Linked DNA regions of Caenorhabditis elegans. The protein of the gene in region 1 purifies or fractionates together with the protein of each later gene. This does not show direct contact. Each region holds a gene or a part of one and is shown in the gene's direction. Other genes may lie near its edges.

What was found. Proteins that work in one complex are often made in the same cells at the same time.
Region 2: the proteins of unc-14 (region 1) and nhr-198 fractionate together in Caenorhabditis elegans (co-fractionation; one large-scale study listed by BioGRID). This does not show direct contact.

What each region holds. Positions count from the first base shown.
Region 1 is NC_003279.8:7,122,107-7,133,054, reverse strand, and holds unc-14 (RUN domain-containing protein), read left to right. Parts: upstream 1-4,808; 5' UTR 4,809-4,917; coding exon 4,918-5,547; intron 5,548-6,469; coding exon 6,470-6,586; intron 6,587-7,129; coding exon 7,130-7,212; intron 7,213-7,906; coding exon 7,907-8,086; intron 8,087-8,272; coding exon 8,273-8,374; intron 8,375-8,506; coding exon 8,507-8,650; intron 8,651-8,802; coding exon 8,803-8,982; intron 8,983-9,028; coding exon 9,029-9,180; intron 9,181-9,275; coding exon 9,276-9,441; intron 9,442-9,751; coding exon 9,752-9,995; 3' UTR 9,996-10,441; downstream 10,442-10,948. Other genes in the region: taf-11.2 (Transcription initiation factor TFIID subunit 11), read right to left, coding at 198-307; K10D3.8 (uncharacterized protein), read left to right, coding at 10,861-10,903.
Region 2 is NC_003283.11:15,690,445-15,697,755, forward strand, and holds nhr-198 (Nuclear receptor domain-containing protein), read left to right. Parts: upstream 1-3,549; coding exon 3,550-3,654; intron 3,655-4,014; coding exon 4,015-4,717; intron 4,718-5,444; coding exon 5,445-5,773; downstream 5,774-7,311. Other genes in the region: Nuclear hormone receptor family member nhr-268, read left to right, coding at 1-330, 443-806, 889-1,151; srx-29 (7TM GPCR serpentine receptor class x (Srx) domain-containing protein), read right to left, coding at 6,341-6,419, 6,484-6,936, 7,308-7,311.

The sequences.
Region 1 (10,948 bases):
GAGGTTCTGTCTCTGATGAAAATTATTCAAAATTAAGATGTGCCTGATTCTGGGATGTAAAAAAATTTTTCATGAAACTTTCTCGAACTGAAACAAAATGTCCACTTTTAGTGATAATTGAATTTGGTTAAAACTTTTAAAAGAGTGGAAGAGATTATACAAGTATTATCTTGCATGTTTTTACACTTGGTCTTTACCTCATTTTCAAATCTGCAAGTACATCCTTCTCACTTGGCATCTGTTGTGGCATGACACATTGTTCCTCTTCATCACTGCTTACACCTCCGAATAGGTCATTCGTATTCATTCTGAAAATTTCTTTATATTTAAAACAGAACATACAAGGTTATTCAAAAATGTAAAGAGAATAACAATAGCGTAGAAGTAGATCTCAATTGGAAAATGATATACGACTTTTACCTGTATTTTAAGTAAAACAGGGGAGATATATGTGAAAAAGAAAAAAAACTAATAGGCCTGATGAAAGAAAACCTCTGTAGGCTATGTTCATAGTGTGTCGACATTTTATGGGTTTCGCTTGGTGACGTGTTTTGCATGGTTATTGGGTGGTCTCAATGTGTCAATGACTGAGTAATACATTGTTCCTTTATGAGTTCTTGAAAACAGTGTACGTTTTGCAAAGTGGTGTGCTAGTCTCATTAAAAAATATGATGTGAATTTGAATCGTTCTTGTGAATTATTCTTGGAAAAGTTTTGAAAAAGTTAACATAAAATAAATAATGTAGGGTTATAATTTAATTTCAAAAGTTAAGTTAAGTTGTTAAGTTGACTGTTATATGTTTAATTTTATTTTTCTATGGGTTTAAAGAGAGGCGCAATTAAGGATTGAAGTCTCGTCCCGCCTGTAAAATTACTGTAAAAAAGTACGCTTATGTTATTTTTCAAAATTAACTTTATTGATAATATGCTGGAAATTGCTATGAATATGACTAAATATCGTTGTAAAACTTTTAAAAAACATTGTGAAACTTTTTCTTTACAGACCGAAAGTGACAATCATTCTGTTTTCATAAATATTTTTACCTATCATAATAATTTGCAAAGTCGACCAAAAAGTCGACCACATTTGTTTTCAAAATCATGGTACTTTTCCAATAATTTTGCATTTCCCGCGAAAAAGTCACACGTAAACTAAATTTACTTTTTTTGCAATAAAGACCACCTGTCAATAAAAAACGTTGAATGTGACTTGCTACACGTTCATCTTGCTTTGAAGCGTAGCGTGCGGCAACGAAAAGTCATTGCAAATGTGTCACATTGACACTGATTCTTTCTTACATTTCTCCACGGATTTCACTATATGCTTAAATTTCCACTATATGCTTAAATTGTTAGGTCTTCGATGGAGAACATTGTTGCTTCTCTCGAAATTTATACTAGATTGTTTTTGAGATTTTTACAATGGTCAGAAAATAAAGATACTTTCTTTTAAAGTAAATAAATGCTCTATAAAGTTGGAAGAAATCTAGCAGGTGTTTTATCAAAATACTGAAAATAGAACAAAAATAACATTAAACTAAATAACTCTGAAATTATTCGGGTTTTTAAAAAATTATCAGTCAGCGTACTTGCGAATTGAAAATTTTCAAAAAATCGGGTAATTTGAACATTGCAGTGCAGTGTCCGATAGATACACAATGTTTAAGAACAAATAATTAAAGCAACATTAAAAAATGAAACTCGTAGAGTAAATACGGTTTACCTTTTCAAAGAGAGAGGTGGAAACTGAACAATTGCTACTTTTGTAGAACTGTTTGAAAATTAATATTTGATCATTTCAGGGCCATGTTCGTAATTTGAAACAATTTCCGTACTTTCACAACTCCACCTTTAATTCAAATAATACAATTTCGTAGATAATATTGAACTACATATAGTATATAAATTACTTGTAAACTTTCTATTGCCGCTCATATCAGTTGACAATCTGATAATTGATAGTCTCTGCCCTCCGAAATCATCCCCTCACGACGAAAAGGTCCGTGAGGGAAACATTATCTCTTTCCAGGTGTACGCAACTGATGATATTACACCAATCTCTTATCGAACAGAGATCAACGAAATATAAGTGATTGTGTGTAGAAGCACAGAGAAAAGGCACATGTGGTTATGTTATCCCACCAGTAATTTGAACTTATTTCGGGTGATCATCTCTTGGATTTTAGAGTCAAGTCACAAGAACTTTTACATTGTTCAATGGTAAACATCTTAAAGATGTATTACTTTTTTGTTACAAATGATGCTCCCGTTACTTTTTATTTTTTGTTACACGTTTCTTGGCAATCAGCCGCCATTATTTAATGGTATTAAAATCTCAGAAACGAATGATTTAGAGAATTGGCCCTTCCCTTACGGTTTGTAAGCTAGTTTAATATTACTTCCTTCTTGCTTATATTTTTTAAATTTAGTTTCACATAATATTTTTGAGTCTGAAAAAAATCAGATTCGCAACGAGTTCATGAACCATTAAAAACGCATTCGTTCTTGCATAAAATGGCTTTTTCACTGACGTCATTCTTTCCTTCCTCTTCATTTTTTCGCCCACGAGCTCTCTCTTTCTATGCTTATTTTTACTTCCGAAATTTTGAAGACGTTTTGATTGAGTTTTCAAAGGTTGTATTCTCAATGTGGGATAGTGATAAGTTTGACAAAACATTTTCATAATGATTCAAATAGAATTTCTGAATTGAAACTTTTATGTTTAGACATTTTGAAATTTACAACCAAAGTTTTTGAAAAATCATACTTACATTTTAGATGTCCCCCAATGTTGAATTGCAAATCATTAAAAGTTAATTAAAATATAAAATTCGTAGACAATGTTAAAGAAATAAAAAGAATGTTCAAAAATTTTTCGAGCTAAAACTGTTCTTATGAAATCTTGAGCTAAAAATTTACAACTCCGACACCAAGATTATACAATATTTTTTTGCGTTTTTACATAGCTTTGAAAAAAGAATACTTGGTCATTTTTTCACCATATAAGTGGTTTCAATAATTTTCCCAACTGGCAATACTCCATCAGTTAAAACCTGTGCAAATAGATACAGAGCCACTGTTTTAAAACCGAAATTTGCTAATATTTAGCTTTTTGTTGGATACTTCCTGGAAAAAAAATTAAATTTAAATACTGGGAAATCATCTGAATATTTTTACAAGTCGACAGTTGCTATGTACAATTTACAACTTTAAAATAACGTACTGGAAATCTACAAAAACTTCAAATCATTCTGTGAATGTAAATTTCTTTGCTCATATCCTTCTTCTCCGTCTCTCATCACTTAAATTTTGTTTGCATCGTTGCCCACTATTTTAATTAAGCTCATTTTCTCAATTTCCTCTACCATTTTCTTGTGTCCCAATCAATCATTTCTCACCCACGAAGTATGATGAATTGCCACGTCACACAAACACCGATAGATCTTTTTTCTTTCGCACTCTCTTTCTCATATCAGTTGTGTCAAGTAGACAGAGAGCAGCAGCATCTCGAGTGTCCCATTTTGACAAAAAAAAGATGGGAAGAGATGTTTGTAGTTTTGAGATGAATGATATACGTTTGGTTATTGTCCCAAAGGAATGGTATTATTGTGGAATGCTCTTTGACTCATTTGATTTTATAGAATAGTCTGACAATCTTCTGAAAATTCCTAAAGACCCCCCACAAGAGAAAAGGTATATTCCACATATAAGAACTACAGTATCAAATCATTTTCCAAGTTACTCTAGAGAACATTAGACTACATTATTTCAATAGTTATCAAATGACTTGAAAACGTTTTGAAATTGTTTTATTAACAGTCACTTCAGTTTCATCTTTGAAAAATGTCTAATTGTTTCAAACTATGGCACTTTGCCAAAACTCTGTTTGAAAATTTTGAAAAAATATGAAACATGTCAGAGTTGTTTTAATTTTGGCACTCTTGGAGTAAATTTTGGCTAAGTCATCTTGGCTTCTCAGCTATGGAAGTCAATTATGTTTTACAAACCCATTAACAATGAAATCACTGAAAAGTTTTATTTTATAGTTTTAAAAACAATGAAATTTAGATTTTTTGTCGTAAAGTGTTCATTTTCAAGAAAACCAACGTTACGGTCGTAAAATATTAAAAATCACAACATGAACGAACACGCCCACAACAGAGTTTAAAACATTTCCCGGAACCGTTTTTCAAGTTTTTTGGAAACTTTTTTTCCTGGAAAAACTCTTGTCACTTTCTGAACACAAACTTTTCTTATGCAAAAAAAATACAACTTTGGCACCAAGATGTTTTTGAAAACTTTTTAGAAAATGTTTCAAAAATCAGCCCTTGCAAAAATAATTCAATCTCAAATGATTTCATGGGCTTATATGTTTTTTTATTCTCCAAGTTTTGTGGATTCTAAGATTCTGTATGACAATAGTATCAAGTTGCCTCAATTTTCATTTCTCCGACTTGTTGTCCACCATCACAGTAATACGATTCTTTGTCTTGAAAAATGTGAGCCAATCATCTTTCATGCACAAGTACATTTTCTCGGCCATCTCGTCTAACACTTTCCCTCAAACTACTCTCGTTCGTCTGTCTTCTATTCTTTGCATACAACTCTCAAGAGTGTTTCTCTCATTTCAGCGCTACACAGAGACACAGACAACATCTCTCCGTTGCGAAACACAACGAGAAGAGTATATTGAAGAGTGAGACGGAGAGATACAATTTGGATTGCATAGCCAGCTGACGCTTCTCTCGTTTTCTCTCGTTCTCTCATTTTTCAAAAGGCCAGGGACGCAGATTCATTGATCGACAACGACGGCGACGCGGCGGCGCGAGACGCGTCCCTTTATTTCTTCTTTTTCTAGTCAGCTTCTGTTATTCTGAACGTCTACAAAGGGCTTCATCCCTCAATTCTTCCACCAAAATGGTGGAACTGTGCGAACTGCACATGATGCCTGAAGAGGATCAATGGCCCGATGACATTGATGCTCGAATCGCTGCTCTCAACTTTTGTGGAGAAGATTCGATGCTCTTTGAATCAGTTGATCCTTCTGTATCAACTGATTCTTTAGACTCTCAACAGTTTCGAGAGAGATGTCAAATGAAAAAAGAAGATTTTCAATTAGCATTCGCAGACTCTGGACATTGGCAATCAGGTATAAATGATAATCTGACAACTTGGGGTCGGATTCGGACATCTGAACCATTGGATGAACGTACTGCCAGTGCTCCAGATGTTTGGAATGTAAAAAGAAGTGATAGTGCTCGATCACCAAATCGTCCAAATTCACTGATTGCCAACTTTGTTTCCGGAGATGCTACTCGATTCGTCGATGTAAATGATAATGAAATTCGCGAGGCAAATGAAGAAATAATTCGTAAAGATCGTTGGAGAAGAGATTCAGCGAGACGATGCTCATCTGGAGGACAAAATCAGAAACGAACATTTGCGGATATTCTGGAAAAGAATGTAACAGCACCAACTTCAATGGCAATCACATCGTCTGATAATGAAAAGCCTCCGAAATTAGACTTCCTGGCAATGCATCATGAGGTCAGTTTTTTTTTCGTAAGTGATAAGAGACGGGTGATAAATTTTGTCTGTATTGTGTTCTGCGGCAAAGATCGAGGTGGTCGGAGCGTTCTTTTTTCTTTCGATGCAACGTTTTAAGTTTTTCCAAAAAATAAATCATCTTCACTTTTTTCCGCAGTAAAGAAAATAAACAATTTTTTCAAAAAAATAATTTAAAGAATTTATTTTGATACATTTGAATTTCATCAACATTCACCGTATTTCTCCTACTAATCTTGCTCTTTTTCGGTTTACTTTAACAGTTTATATCTGGCCGTCGGGATATAAACTGTTAAAGTGGTTCAATACTGACAAGACTGATAAATAAAAATACTGTCTGACAGAATATACAAAACCTATGTATCTTGGGAATAGCTGTCAACTGACAAATAAAAACATTGTGTTAATGACTACAAGTATTTATTGCTAGTTTATTTTCTAGTCAACACATTTTTTTCAAAAACTAAATTCTAAAGTCTAAATTTGCAAATACTTAGATAGTATCATCGGTTGGTCATCACATTCCTTCCCATTTAAAAACAATTTTGTAGGTCGATGTTATTTTTGAGATAATGATCCTAACAGAATATAATTTTTAAAAGAAAAAACAGAAAGTATCCCGTCGGGATGCAAATGAAGAAGCAAGAAATAAACATCAATCTTACATAATCCAATCCGCGACAACCAAAATTGTTATCGGTTTCTTTTTTGTGTCAACGTCGCCGCTGTAGTCGTCGCGCCGCACTTATCATACCCATTCATTTGATCGATTGACTGCGTTCGTTTCTATTTTTTAATGTTTCATATACGGACGCATGTCTAGATAATGTCTTTTAGTAGTAGTGTAACCATGAGAAATTAGAACATGCATTCAAACTTTATAATTAAATAAATTAATTTTTAGATGCCATCTCTCTGCGAGTCATTCACCGCTTCGTTCCGTGATGCTATTATTAAAATGCAGAAATGTGAGCCACTACCGTCGATTACTTCAACCAATGATTTTCCGCTCTTCTTTCAAGTAAGTTCTTGTTTTTAGCATTGAAAAATAAACTTAACCATGAGATAAATTGAACAAGTTTTCCCTATTGTGCAGAAGTCTGATTATCAGCTAAAATAGGATACCTATTCCAATAAGCTGCTTTAATTGCTGTTTTAATGCTGTTTTAATAAGCAGGTAAGATCATAAAAACTCAAAGTGCATGCAATTTTAAACAAGAAAATCTTCAGTGGTGATTTAGTAAACATATTTGCATAATAGTCAACCAAGTATCCTTTTTCAACTTTCCAAATTTTTAGTAAAAATTTTAAAAAGTTGTCAAAAATTCCAAAATTGACTTTAGATATGTAAAAGCCTGATTAATTTTTTCGAAAAGTTTTACCACGATATAATACTTTTAAATGGTTTTCCATTCGCAGCTTTAACTAAATATAAGTATAAATTTAATTGTTCCTACAGTAGTTATCCCCATGAACTCATTGTGGCACGTAATCTGATATTTCTCAGTCTCTAATACTCTCACATTATTTGTTTCCATTAATTATTCATCCTTTTCTTTTTCAGGAAGACTCTCCCGACTCAGGACTCGGTTGTAGTGGTCCGAGCCACATTGAAGATTGGCAATCTCTATCTGTTCTTCTGCCCAAGTGAGTCACGTTTTTCATTCGATTTTCCCTTTTTTCTTTCGCTCGCTCATTTTTCATTTTTCGCCGGCTTAATCTCAAGATTATTTCGCGCCCCGGCACTCTTTTATTGAAGGGAAACATTGGAGAAAAATAAGAGACGCAGAGATTTTTCACATTTTCTTTCTTCCCGTTAACCCAGTCGGAGAAAAGATGGCGCAGGGAAGATTGGGAAAAGAAAGGACTTTTTCTGTGGGGTGAACGGAAATTGAGGGAAGAAAACTGAAATGGGCACGTGATTGACTTTTTTGAAAATTGGTCAATCTATCGGAAAAGGTTAAAGGTGGAGATTGTGAGTGTGGATTTAGTTTTAAAATACTCAAACTAGTCTATAACCCTGAAACAACTCAAAAGAAAAACGAAAGAAACTAGTGAGAATGGAAAATAATGTTTTTTTTAATTGAAAAAATAGATTTTTCTGTTTTGGCTAATTTTTCTTTGTTTAAATTACCTCCGAAATGAGAATTTCAAGCCGATCAACGATTCGCTTTTTCAATCAATCATATGGATTGCTGAAACCTTTAAGACGTTGATTGTTTTGAAACTACTTGAGGTTTTTAGCTTTGTTTTAGGTTTTTTGGCATTTTAAACAAAACACTATTAACGCTTTGAGAATCACATCAAAACTAAAAATATTTTCTTAATTGTAATGTTTCAGACACGTCGCAGAAGCATGTTCATTCTTCAAGAGCAACACCCAATTATTAACATCAAGTACATCAAAAACAGCACCCCAAACATCAACAAACATCGTATCAAATTGCATTGATCGCCGTATCTCTGGTATTTCAGCATCAGCAAATGAAGCATGTCGAACGTGTTATCGAGTACGAAGGAGGTAAGAATCTTTTGATTTTTATGAGCTATTTGAGAAGCTAACGGCTAATTGCTTTAGGGTGACGAAACGTTTGATGACCAATCGTTAAAATAGTATACAAGACACATGTTGTGTAATAAATGTGTATCTCACTATTTGTTAGAATATGGTTTTCTGTCTTAAAATATTCATAACAATTTTTTTCAGGATACACCCACCAGTTTGGGCTCAAACTGCCCAATCAAAGACGGTTCTTTGTGACTGCGCATCAACACCCACGGATACGAATTTCTCATTTGCACCAACAACGTAAGCTTCTTCTTCACTGACTCTATTATGCTCTTTAATCTTCCATTTGACCCTCATCATCAATCACTTACCCGCGCACATTCACTTCTTTTCATTCTCTTCCTTCTTTCGAAATCTCATTTCTCATTTCAGTTCAACGACTCGCCATCAACTGCGCGCAAAAGAGCTCTCAATTGTCGGATTGCCGATTTATGCAGCAAAGCGGACACTCGTTGAGAATGTTGTTGAAGGCGTTGCTGCAATTTCAAGAGGGGATGGAAGTGATTTGCTTGTCATGTAAGAAATATTTTTTAATATTAAATATGAGGGTCTGCAACTTTAAAGAAACCCTGAAAATGTAAAAAAAAATGGAAAAATAGTCCAGTTCAATAAAAAATACTCAAAATAGACTCTTATTAATACAAATTAAAATGTTTCAACATTTTCAGCGCCATGAGATGCTTAATTGAAGATGGTCTTCAAGAAAATGTATCGGCATGGACAATGATTCAGACGGTTACCTCAAAAGGCCCAGCTACAAAAGATGTTCATTCAATTGTAAAACAATTGGAAGAATGTTCAAAGACTGACAACGTCAAAGTTGAAATCTTCTTTGAGGAGCTTATCAGGTAATCGGAGAAAATAGAAATATAATCGTTCAAGTAAGAGTTACAGAGAAAACTCATTGGACTGCTGGCTGTGCTATATTGTGTTGAAAGAGAAGGTGCTGAAAACATTGTATTCTGAAAATGCATTCCTTCTTTCTGCGAGTTCTGAATACAGAACTCTTCTTTGGAGAATGGTCGACAGTTTGTCTCTTTTGCCAGGTAATTCTAGTTTTCATTAACAACAACTTAAATGAATGTATATCTAAAATGCCCCAATAGTTCCCTTTTTGAAATTTGCACATTGATATTTTTAGTGATCGAAGCTCGCAGTGATTCAGTTCACCAACAGTTCAAATCAATGCAACAATGGGGCGGAGCATCCAGAATAGCTTCTGACTCAAGAGTTCCAAAGAGTTCATCGTTCCCAGCAAGATTATCAACTGCTCCATCAAGAAGATCAAGGATACCATTGTCAACAAGGTAATTTGTTTGTTTTTTCATTGCAAAATTGGCAGACTTCGAAACGAGACATGTCTTATTTAAAAGTTTATATGCATTTAGACCAGGATATCAAAAAATTTTAAGCAAAGCTCAGCAACCACACTCTAAAAATTTCGCTCTGAAATTTCTTCAGTGAATTTTTTCGCTGTAATTGTGCCTCATTTTTAAGAGTGTTGGGTAGATATTCTGAATTATTTTTGGCAATTGATTTGATTCTAAAAAAATCAACAAATGCAATCAAAAGCTCTCTTGATCTTTGACAACTCTTAACCACTTTTCAATTTTTCAGTCGCATCAGTATCAGCTCAACAACTTCAACACCTCGATCAGCTCGATCACCTTCAACGACATCTCGTATTCGAGTTGCATCTATAATGGGTGACTTCACACTTGCCAATTTCTCCCTCTCAGACGGAGAAAAAGTTAGTGTTCTATCAACTCGTGGAGGACTTGCTCGATGTGTCCGTTTAACGACTTCTCATTCAAAAATCAACAATGGAGTTATTCCGATTGAACATCTTCTTTTCCAGTGAACACTCTGTACTTTATTTTTTTCTTGAACTTTAATTTTTTTCCGATGCTTCATATAATTCTAGTCATGCCACCCAATTCAACCGAGTTTGATCCCCCATCCCATGCATTCATCGTTTTCCCTCAATGATACTCATTTCTTTTTCATGTTCAACTGAATTCATGAAAAATGTTTGAAAACTTTCAAATATTTTTTTGAATTTAAAAGTCATTAGATAGCCTCTCTTTTCCCTCCGGTTTCCTCCAATTTTGCTCCTTCTATCTTCGTATAGAAGAAAATTGCTTTATTTCCTTCCTTTTTCAGCTAAAATCGAGGCAACTATTGGATTCTTTGCAGCTTGCCAAAACATTATTCAATAACAAAAACGAAAATGTTTATTTGTATTTTGGAATAGAGCCAATCGGATTTGTATTGTTTTTGAAAATAAACAATAAATAAAATGCATTTAATTATTAATTTTAAATTTGGAAAAGTTATTAAATAATCTAAAATGTTTGAAAATGAACTTAAAAATGAAAAAACATACAAATAATTTTGTAATTTGGTTTTTTTTTTACACTTTTTGGATTTCAGTGGCGTTGCAATATAGCCTTCAATAATTTTCAAAGATCACCGGGCGTAACATTTAATGATTAATAGTAATTCAACGAATCACAAATTACAACAATTCACAAATATTTACCAAAAACATTTTGATCTTAAGATGTTTTTTTTTTATCTGAACTAGTTTCCATTAGTGTCTCATGTCGAATGATGTGATAAGAACGAATTATTTCGAGATAACAATAACATTTGAAAATCCTATAAAAGGGGGTGAGAAAATTGTAAAAAGCAAGAAGTTCTTACACTGAATTTCCAAATCTAATATGAATTTCACAATTCTTCTTGTTTTTCTGATGGCTGTTGTAGGTGAGTTCCTGTGATTTAGATAAAATTCCTATTTTCTTGTAAAGT
Region 2 (7,311 bases), on another chromosome or scaffold:
TGCAAAATGTTCTTCCGTAGAACTGTTTTCAAAAATATGTTATTCAATTGCAAATACTTTAAAAATTGCACTATCCACTACAAAACTCACCCGAAGTGCCGTGCTTGTCGATTCCAAAAATGCTTGAACATTGGCATGAAAGCAGCTTCCAAGAATGATAGAATAGTTAGTATTGGCAACTACGAAGATTACAATTTTGACAAATTATTGAATGATTTGATTGTGAAAAATGATAAAAACTATTCAAATTTTATTGATTTCTATTCGTTGGAGGATCCGAGCTTGAAGGATATTATAGAGGATAGAAGTATTATGAAACTTGTGAGAAGGGTTAGTTGCTCATTTTTCGATAAGTTTTATTTCAGATTAGCAGAAGAAATAGAGCGGATCTAACTAGAAAAGAATCCCAATGCCTAAGCTTGAGTAACATATATATTTTCAGACACCCGAGACACTCAACGACGTCGACCAATGGTCGAATATGCTGGCATACTCTCGAATATCTTATTTTCTAGATTTCAACTTTATTCGAGAACTAGATTCCAGCGACAAGAATACACTGTTCAAGTATAATGTCTCGCGAGCAGGGTGCTTAGCACTTGCCATGTGTGCATACAGTGAAAACAAACCAAAGTTAACATTTCCAAACGATGTTGATATTTTTCCATCTGAAATGTATAATCTTTGTGGAAGTTCTACAGCTGTTCTGAATCAAGTGTCGGGGCAAGTCATCGCCAAGTTTATCGAATTGGAAATCAGACAAGAAGAGTATCTGCTGCTATTATTGGTCATGTTTTGCAATGCATGTAAGTTTCAGTTTTAGAAATTGTTTTTTTTTTGAAAATATCATTTAACTAGTTTTCACATTTCATAATCTTTAATTTACAGCAATAACCAATAACTTCTCCCACAAGACAAAACTCATTCTATCATCCCACCAACAGGTTTACTGCTCTGCCTTGTTCCGTTATTGCCAGCTGAAATATTCAAAATCTGCACCAACTCGGTTCACAGAGCTTCTATCAGTTTTTGGAATAGTTAACAAATCTGTGAATAACATGAGCTTTTTGAGCATGATGGTGCAATGTTATAATCCAAAATTTAATTTTAAACGGCTAATGCAAGATATTTTCTCTCATACATTGTCATAATGAATTTTTTTTGTCTGTTTTTCAAACGTTTACTGGTTTTTATTAATAAAAAAAATTAAGAATTGTTTGTGTTTCTAAAATTAGGTATAAGAGATGGTGCGAATCTTAAGGTTTTCCAATTCTAACTTATGACGAGAAAATTTTTTTGGATCAAACTATATATCAACTTTATGAATAGAGAACATTTTTTGAACTTTCTGATCCAAAATACATACGTAATTCATTTATTTTTAAGATATTTCATACTCGTGCCATATACTTTTCTGTCTGGGTGATGACTGAATGTGATCTCGCTTGTGCTTCAAATTCTTCATTTTGAAAAAAAAAAAACTTTTCACGTTTACTCACTTTTTTTAGTTTTTTTTCCAGTTTTGAAAAAAAACTACAATTTGAGTTTGACATTATGCATTGCTTGGTATGCTCTGGACGTGCAACCAATAGAAACTATGGCGTAAGTCTCGAAAACTGCTTGATGACCTCGAAAACTGCTTGATGACATGTAGATCAAACCACAAAAATTTCGAATTTTAGGCGATGTCTTGTTTTGCTTGCAAAATGTTTTTCCACAGAACAGTGTACAAAAAACTGTTATTTCGATGCAAACGTATCCAAATTTGCACTATCCACTTCAAAACTCACCCAAAATGCCGAGCCTGTCGATTCCAAAAATGCTTGAATTTAGGAATGAAGCTAGCTCCTTCAAATGATCAAATAGTTAATATTGGCAATCAGTCTGATTATAACTTTGTCAAGTTGTTGGATGATTTGAAATTTAAAAACGCTCGAAATTATTTAAAATTTATAAACTTCTATTCTTTGGAGGATCCGAGCTTGTCCGAGATATTACATGATAAAATTATCATGAAATTTGTAAAAAGGGTTTGCTAAAATTCTGCAATTTCAACAGCACTCATATATTTTTTTCCAGACATCCGAGACTAAAATTAACGTTCAACAAAACTGAAATATGTTGTCTTACACTCGAATATCCTATTTTCTCGATTTCAACTTTATTCGAGACCTAGATTGACAAAAATACACTGTTTAAATATAATATTTTGAGAGCTGGATGCTTAGCACTAGCCATGTGCTCATAAAACAAAAACAAATCGAAATTAACATTTCCGAATGATGCTGATATTTTTCCATCTGAAATGTATAATCTTTGTGGAAGTTCTACAGCTGTTCTGAATCAAGTGTCGGGACAAGTGATCGCCAAGTTTACAGAATTGAAAATCAAACAAGAAGAGTATTTTCTTCTAACACTGCTCATGTTTTGTAACACCTGTAAGTTTTGGTTTTTGAAAATCTAATTTTATAATTTTTTGAAATTTTAATCTCTATAGCACGAGTGATCTATGCGACAAAACAAAATTCGTTTTATCCTCACATCAACAAACCTACTGCTCTGCTTTGCTTCGTTTTTGCCAGCTGGAATATTCGAAATCTGCACCAACTCGATTCGCAGAGCTTTTATCACTTTTTGGAATAGTGAACAAGTCGGTTGATAATTCAAACTATTTGAACATGATGCTTCAATGTTCCGATCCAAGTTCAAGAGAATGACGCAGGATGTTTTTTTTTTTTGACACCGTGTAATAATACGATATGTTTACCTTTTAGAACTCACATCATACTTAATCATACACATGACAATTGTTTTTGATTTCTTTCAATTTTTTTGCTAATAAAAAAATTTGGAGTAATCATACTGGGGTGCTATTGAAAACTTCCGGCAACCGGCAATTTTCAAAGCTATCAATTTTTCAAAAATTACAAAATTCATTTTTTCAGGATTTTGTGAGTTTTGCAAGAAACTATTATAGAAAAAATACGATCGCACAAAAATAAACAACGACGCAACGACACTCCGCTATTTTTAAGCCCCTCCCACGATTTCATTTGCACTGCGGCCGCCACATTTCAGTGCAAATGAAATCGTGGGAGGGGCTTAAAAATAGCGGAGTGTCGTTGCGTCGTTGTTTATTTTTGTGCGATTGTATTTTTTCTATAATACATATATCTAGGGAATTCTCTTCTAACAAAATTTCCTAAAGTCTCCATAACTCTATGATCAACGGTAAAATTGGAGCATTTCAAAAAATCAAAAATTTTGTGCATAAAATCGGAAGATCACTAGACAACTCCAGCTGATAAATCTTTACCAAGTTATCAATAGATCAGAACTTATGTGTCAGTGCATAAGAATGCACTTCACTTTCATGCGTATTTAAAAGAAACGACTTTACATTTGTGATTTCTGCTGCAAATCCCGTGATCAAAGTATCAAAAGCATAACATATTGTGTTAAAGATCTCTGCCTCACTTCCTCCTCCAAAATTCTATATATAAAAGAGCCGGAGTTGGCACTTGCTCTCTGAGTTTTCAGGCTTCAATTATGACTAACTACGCAAGTATTGCTAATTTCAAGACCGAGGAAAGTGTTCTTGTAAGAGAAAAGTGTGTGATATGTTTTGGATCGGCGTTGGGGATGAATTATGGGGTGAGTTAAAATTAGTTTAGTGGAAAAAAATATTTCAATATTAAAATTTTACAATAAAATGTATTAATTTTTTCTCACTTTTAGTTTTAATAAACGACCAAAAAATCCGATTTTTAAAAATTAATTTTATATTTTAACTTCGTTTTGAAAATTCTGAAAATAGCTCAAAAAGTTAAAGTTTTTAAATTTTTGACAAATTACCAAAACTTTTTCTTAAACTTTCAAAATATTACCCTGGGAAAGTTGGGAAAATGAATGTGAAAAAAATCTATATTTCGGAAGCAAAATAATTTTTAAAGAAATTACATTTTATTTTAAAAAATTTGAATCGTTATATTTTTGGTAATTTTTCTTTTATAGGCATTGACTTGCTCCGCGTGCAAGATGTTTTTCCGAAGATCTGCTGAGAAAAAATTGAGCTACAACTGCAAGAAGGACAATCAGTGCTCAATTGCTCAACGGAAATGCCGAGCTTGTCGTTTTCAAAAATGCCTGAACTTTGGCATGACATTTTACTCATTCCGGGGACAACTTGCTCAAAATTTTAATAATCTCGATCAGAAGCTGGAGCTCCTTTTAAAAGAGCTAACAATAAAAGATGGGAAAAACTACACAAAATTCATCAACTACTACTCAAATGAGGACCCTTCTTTAGTGGATGTTCTAAAAAACTCGAATGTGATGAAAATGAAAAAGCGGACACCTCACACCGTCACCGATTCCCATGACTGGGCATTCTTGGGGATCCATGCGAGGATTTCCTATTTTATGGATTTCGAGTTCATAAATAAGTTGAGTTTGAATGACAAAGTAATCCTTTTCAAATACAATGCTCTACGCATGGGATGTATGACTGAAGCAATGCGATGCTTCACTGCAAAAAGAGCATATTTGGTAACTCCAAGCGGTGAAGATGTCTACCTGCCGATATTTCGTAGAATATTCGAAAAGACTCCGGCGCTTTTGGATCAGACATCTTGCATGGTGCTTTATAAGTTTATAGAGTTGAATATTACAAATGAGGAGTGCATTCTATTGGCGCTGATTTTCTTTTGCAATCCTGGTGAGTTCTGCATAGCAAAAATGAAGGAAAAATTGCTTAAAACACAGATTTGAGTTGAAATTTTTTCGCCAAGATATGTTTTGAAAAATTTAAGTTTGAACCTCCTGCCCAATTTTTTAAGGTTATAACTTCGTTCAAGACAAAACTTTTCAAAATCAAAATTAAAATTTCGGCGAAAAATTGTTTAAAAATTGAAATTTTAATTTGGCACCAAAGATTTTTTGAACATTTAAAAAAGTTTTCAGTCGAAACTATTTGACAAAAAAATGCAAAAAAAATTAATACCAATTTTTGTTGAAAAATTAAAATTTGGACTTCCCGGCCATATTTTTTTGCAAGATTTTTGTTTGAATTTCTCGCATCAATTTGTAAAAAATTTTAATTTTAATTTCCTGACAAAAATTTGTTTCAAAAATTAAAATGTGCAATTTTTACCAAACTTTTTAAAACGATATTTTTATTATTTCTCGCCGAAACTTTTCAAATTTAAAATTCAAATTTCGGGATAGTTTTTTTTTAATGTTTTTAATTTGCGCAAAAATTTGAATTTCCTTGAATTTAATACTTTAGCTTTTAGAACAATTGCCATACTCAATTTTAAGAACAATTTGGCGAGAAATTAACGTTTACAATTTCCTTTTAAAAATATTTTTTGAAAATAAAAATATTTTTTTCAAACAATTTTGGCTGGAATTCGCATTTCAATTTTCTAAAAAAAATTGTTCAGCAATTTCCGATGAGCTATCTGAAAAAGCTAAGGAGACACTATCCCGACATCAAAAGCGTTACTGCTCTGCATTGCTCCAATATTGTCAGTCAACATGCCAAAAATCCGCACCTTCTCGGCTCACTGACCTCCTATCCTTGTACAATGTCACCAACAAGGCTTATGACGGTTTTCAATACCTTTGCATGACTTTCCAATGTCTTGCACCAGATTTTAGAGGGAAACAACTCGTATATGATACTTGTTTGGACATCGAGAAAAATAATAGTAAAGAAAATTCGTCTCAGAAGGTGCAGAAGCAAAATCAGAAAATAAATGGAATCTTTTAATGTATAACTCGTATTCACGGAATTTTTAAAAATTAATATGTTAATACATGTAATTTTGAAACAAATCATCTAAACGAAAATAAGAATATTTCTCCCTACGTGCCTGCTTGCCTGCCGCCTGCCTGCCTACGTGCCTGCCTAGCACTTGTCTTTCTACAATCACCTCTTTTCTTAAAAATGTAGTTTTCTGAAAATCTATCGATTTTTTTGAAAATTCAATTGTTTTGTATATTTATGATTTTTTTTCGGATAATTCATATTTACATTGGAAATTGAACTTCTTTTAAAAATTTATTGATTTTTCAGAAACGTTGCTGTATTTTTTGAGAATTTCCCATTTTTAAGGGAATTTTTATATATTAATTTCAGAAAAATTATAGCTTCTAGTGAAAAAAATCTTATTGCTGGGTGAGATATTCATTAATTTTCTATTAAAATGTGTTTTCCGAAAAAGTTTTTGATAAATTCATCAAAAACTTCTCGTGGAGAAGAATACCAAAAAAATTACAAAACCGACACCCTCCGAACAATCACGAAAACTGCAGTGGATTCTGAATTGAAAACAAATTAAGTGAAATGAATAAATTGGCTGATACCTTTCTTAAAAGCAGCTCTCAGTTCTCCATTAGACGCCAAAATTATTCCTCTGAAATTGTTTGGAAAGCAACTGTGATATGACCTGTAGGCACTCAGGTAGGCCTGAAACTCACCCCTCTGCGGCATGGATAAACACCCAAAAAGTAGCAGCAATAAATTGAGCAATGACCCAGTCTGCATCAATGACTGGAGCCACAAAATAAAAAGCAACCTGGCCTGTAAATATCGATAAGCCTTGAAAACAGGTCTGCTTCACAAAATTCCATTCTCTTCTCCGTTGAATCGCGGAAACTTTCAATCCGGCCGCATTTATCAGAACTCGTGACTGTTTTCTTCCTTTGTAAGCAGTCAGTAAATTCAGAAACAAAGTGATTATATCGATTCCCGTGTTGAAAAGGAAATCCGAATACCAGATCAGAGAATCGCAAAAATCCGAATTCTCAAATTCGAATGACCAGTGGTTGGGGTTGTATTTGAGGAAGCACTTGGAGAACTCATAGCAGACTGCACAAAATATAATACAAGTTATCCACAAGTAATTCCGCATGATTACTGTGTTCGGGTTACTGGAAGAGAGAAATGTGACTACGGCTAGCGCCCGACATCTGCAGGGTTTCAAGACAGCGCATCTTGTGGCGGAACCCGGGAGATGTCTGGTGCACGAATATGTGTTACTAACTTGCTGTTTTAGGCACCCACGGAAGATAGACGTTTTTTACGCTCTCCACACGTGGTGTCAGAGTGTCACATTTCGGTTTGACCTGCGAGATTTGCGATAATTTAGACGCCGATTTCTAAACCGATTTTGCATGGTTAACAGCGTGCCGACGCCGCACTTTCCTGGGCAAAAAAATCCCGCATTTTGTAGATCAAATGGTACTGCCTGACACCACGTGCCTCCCCCATATCGCCCGCACCACTTATTGCTCAAAATTACCTGA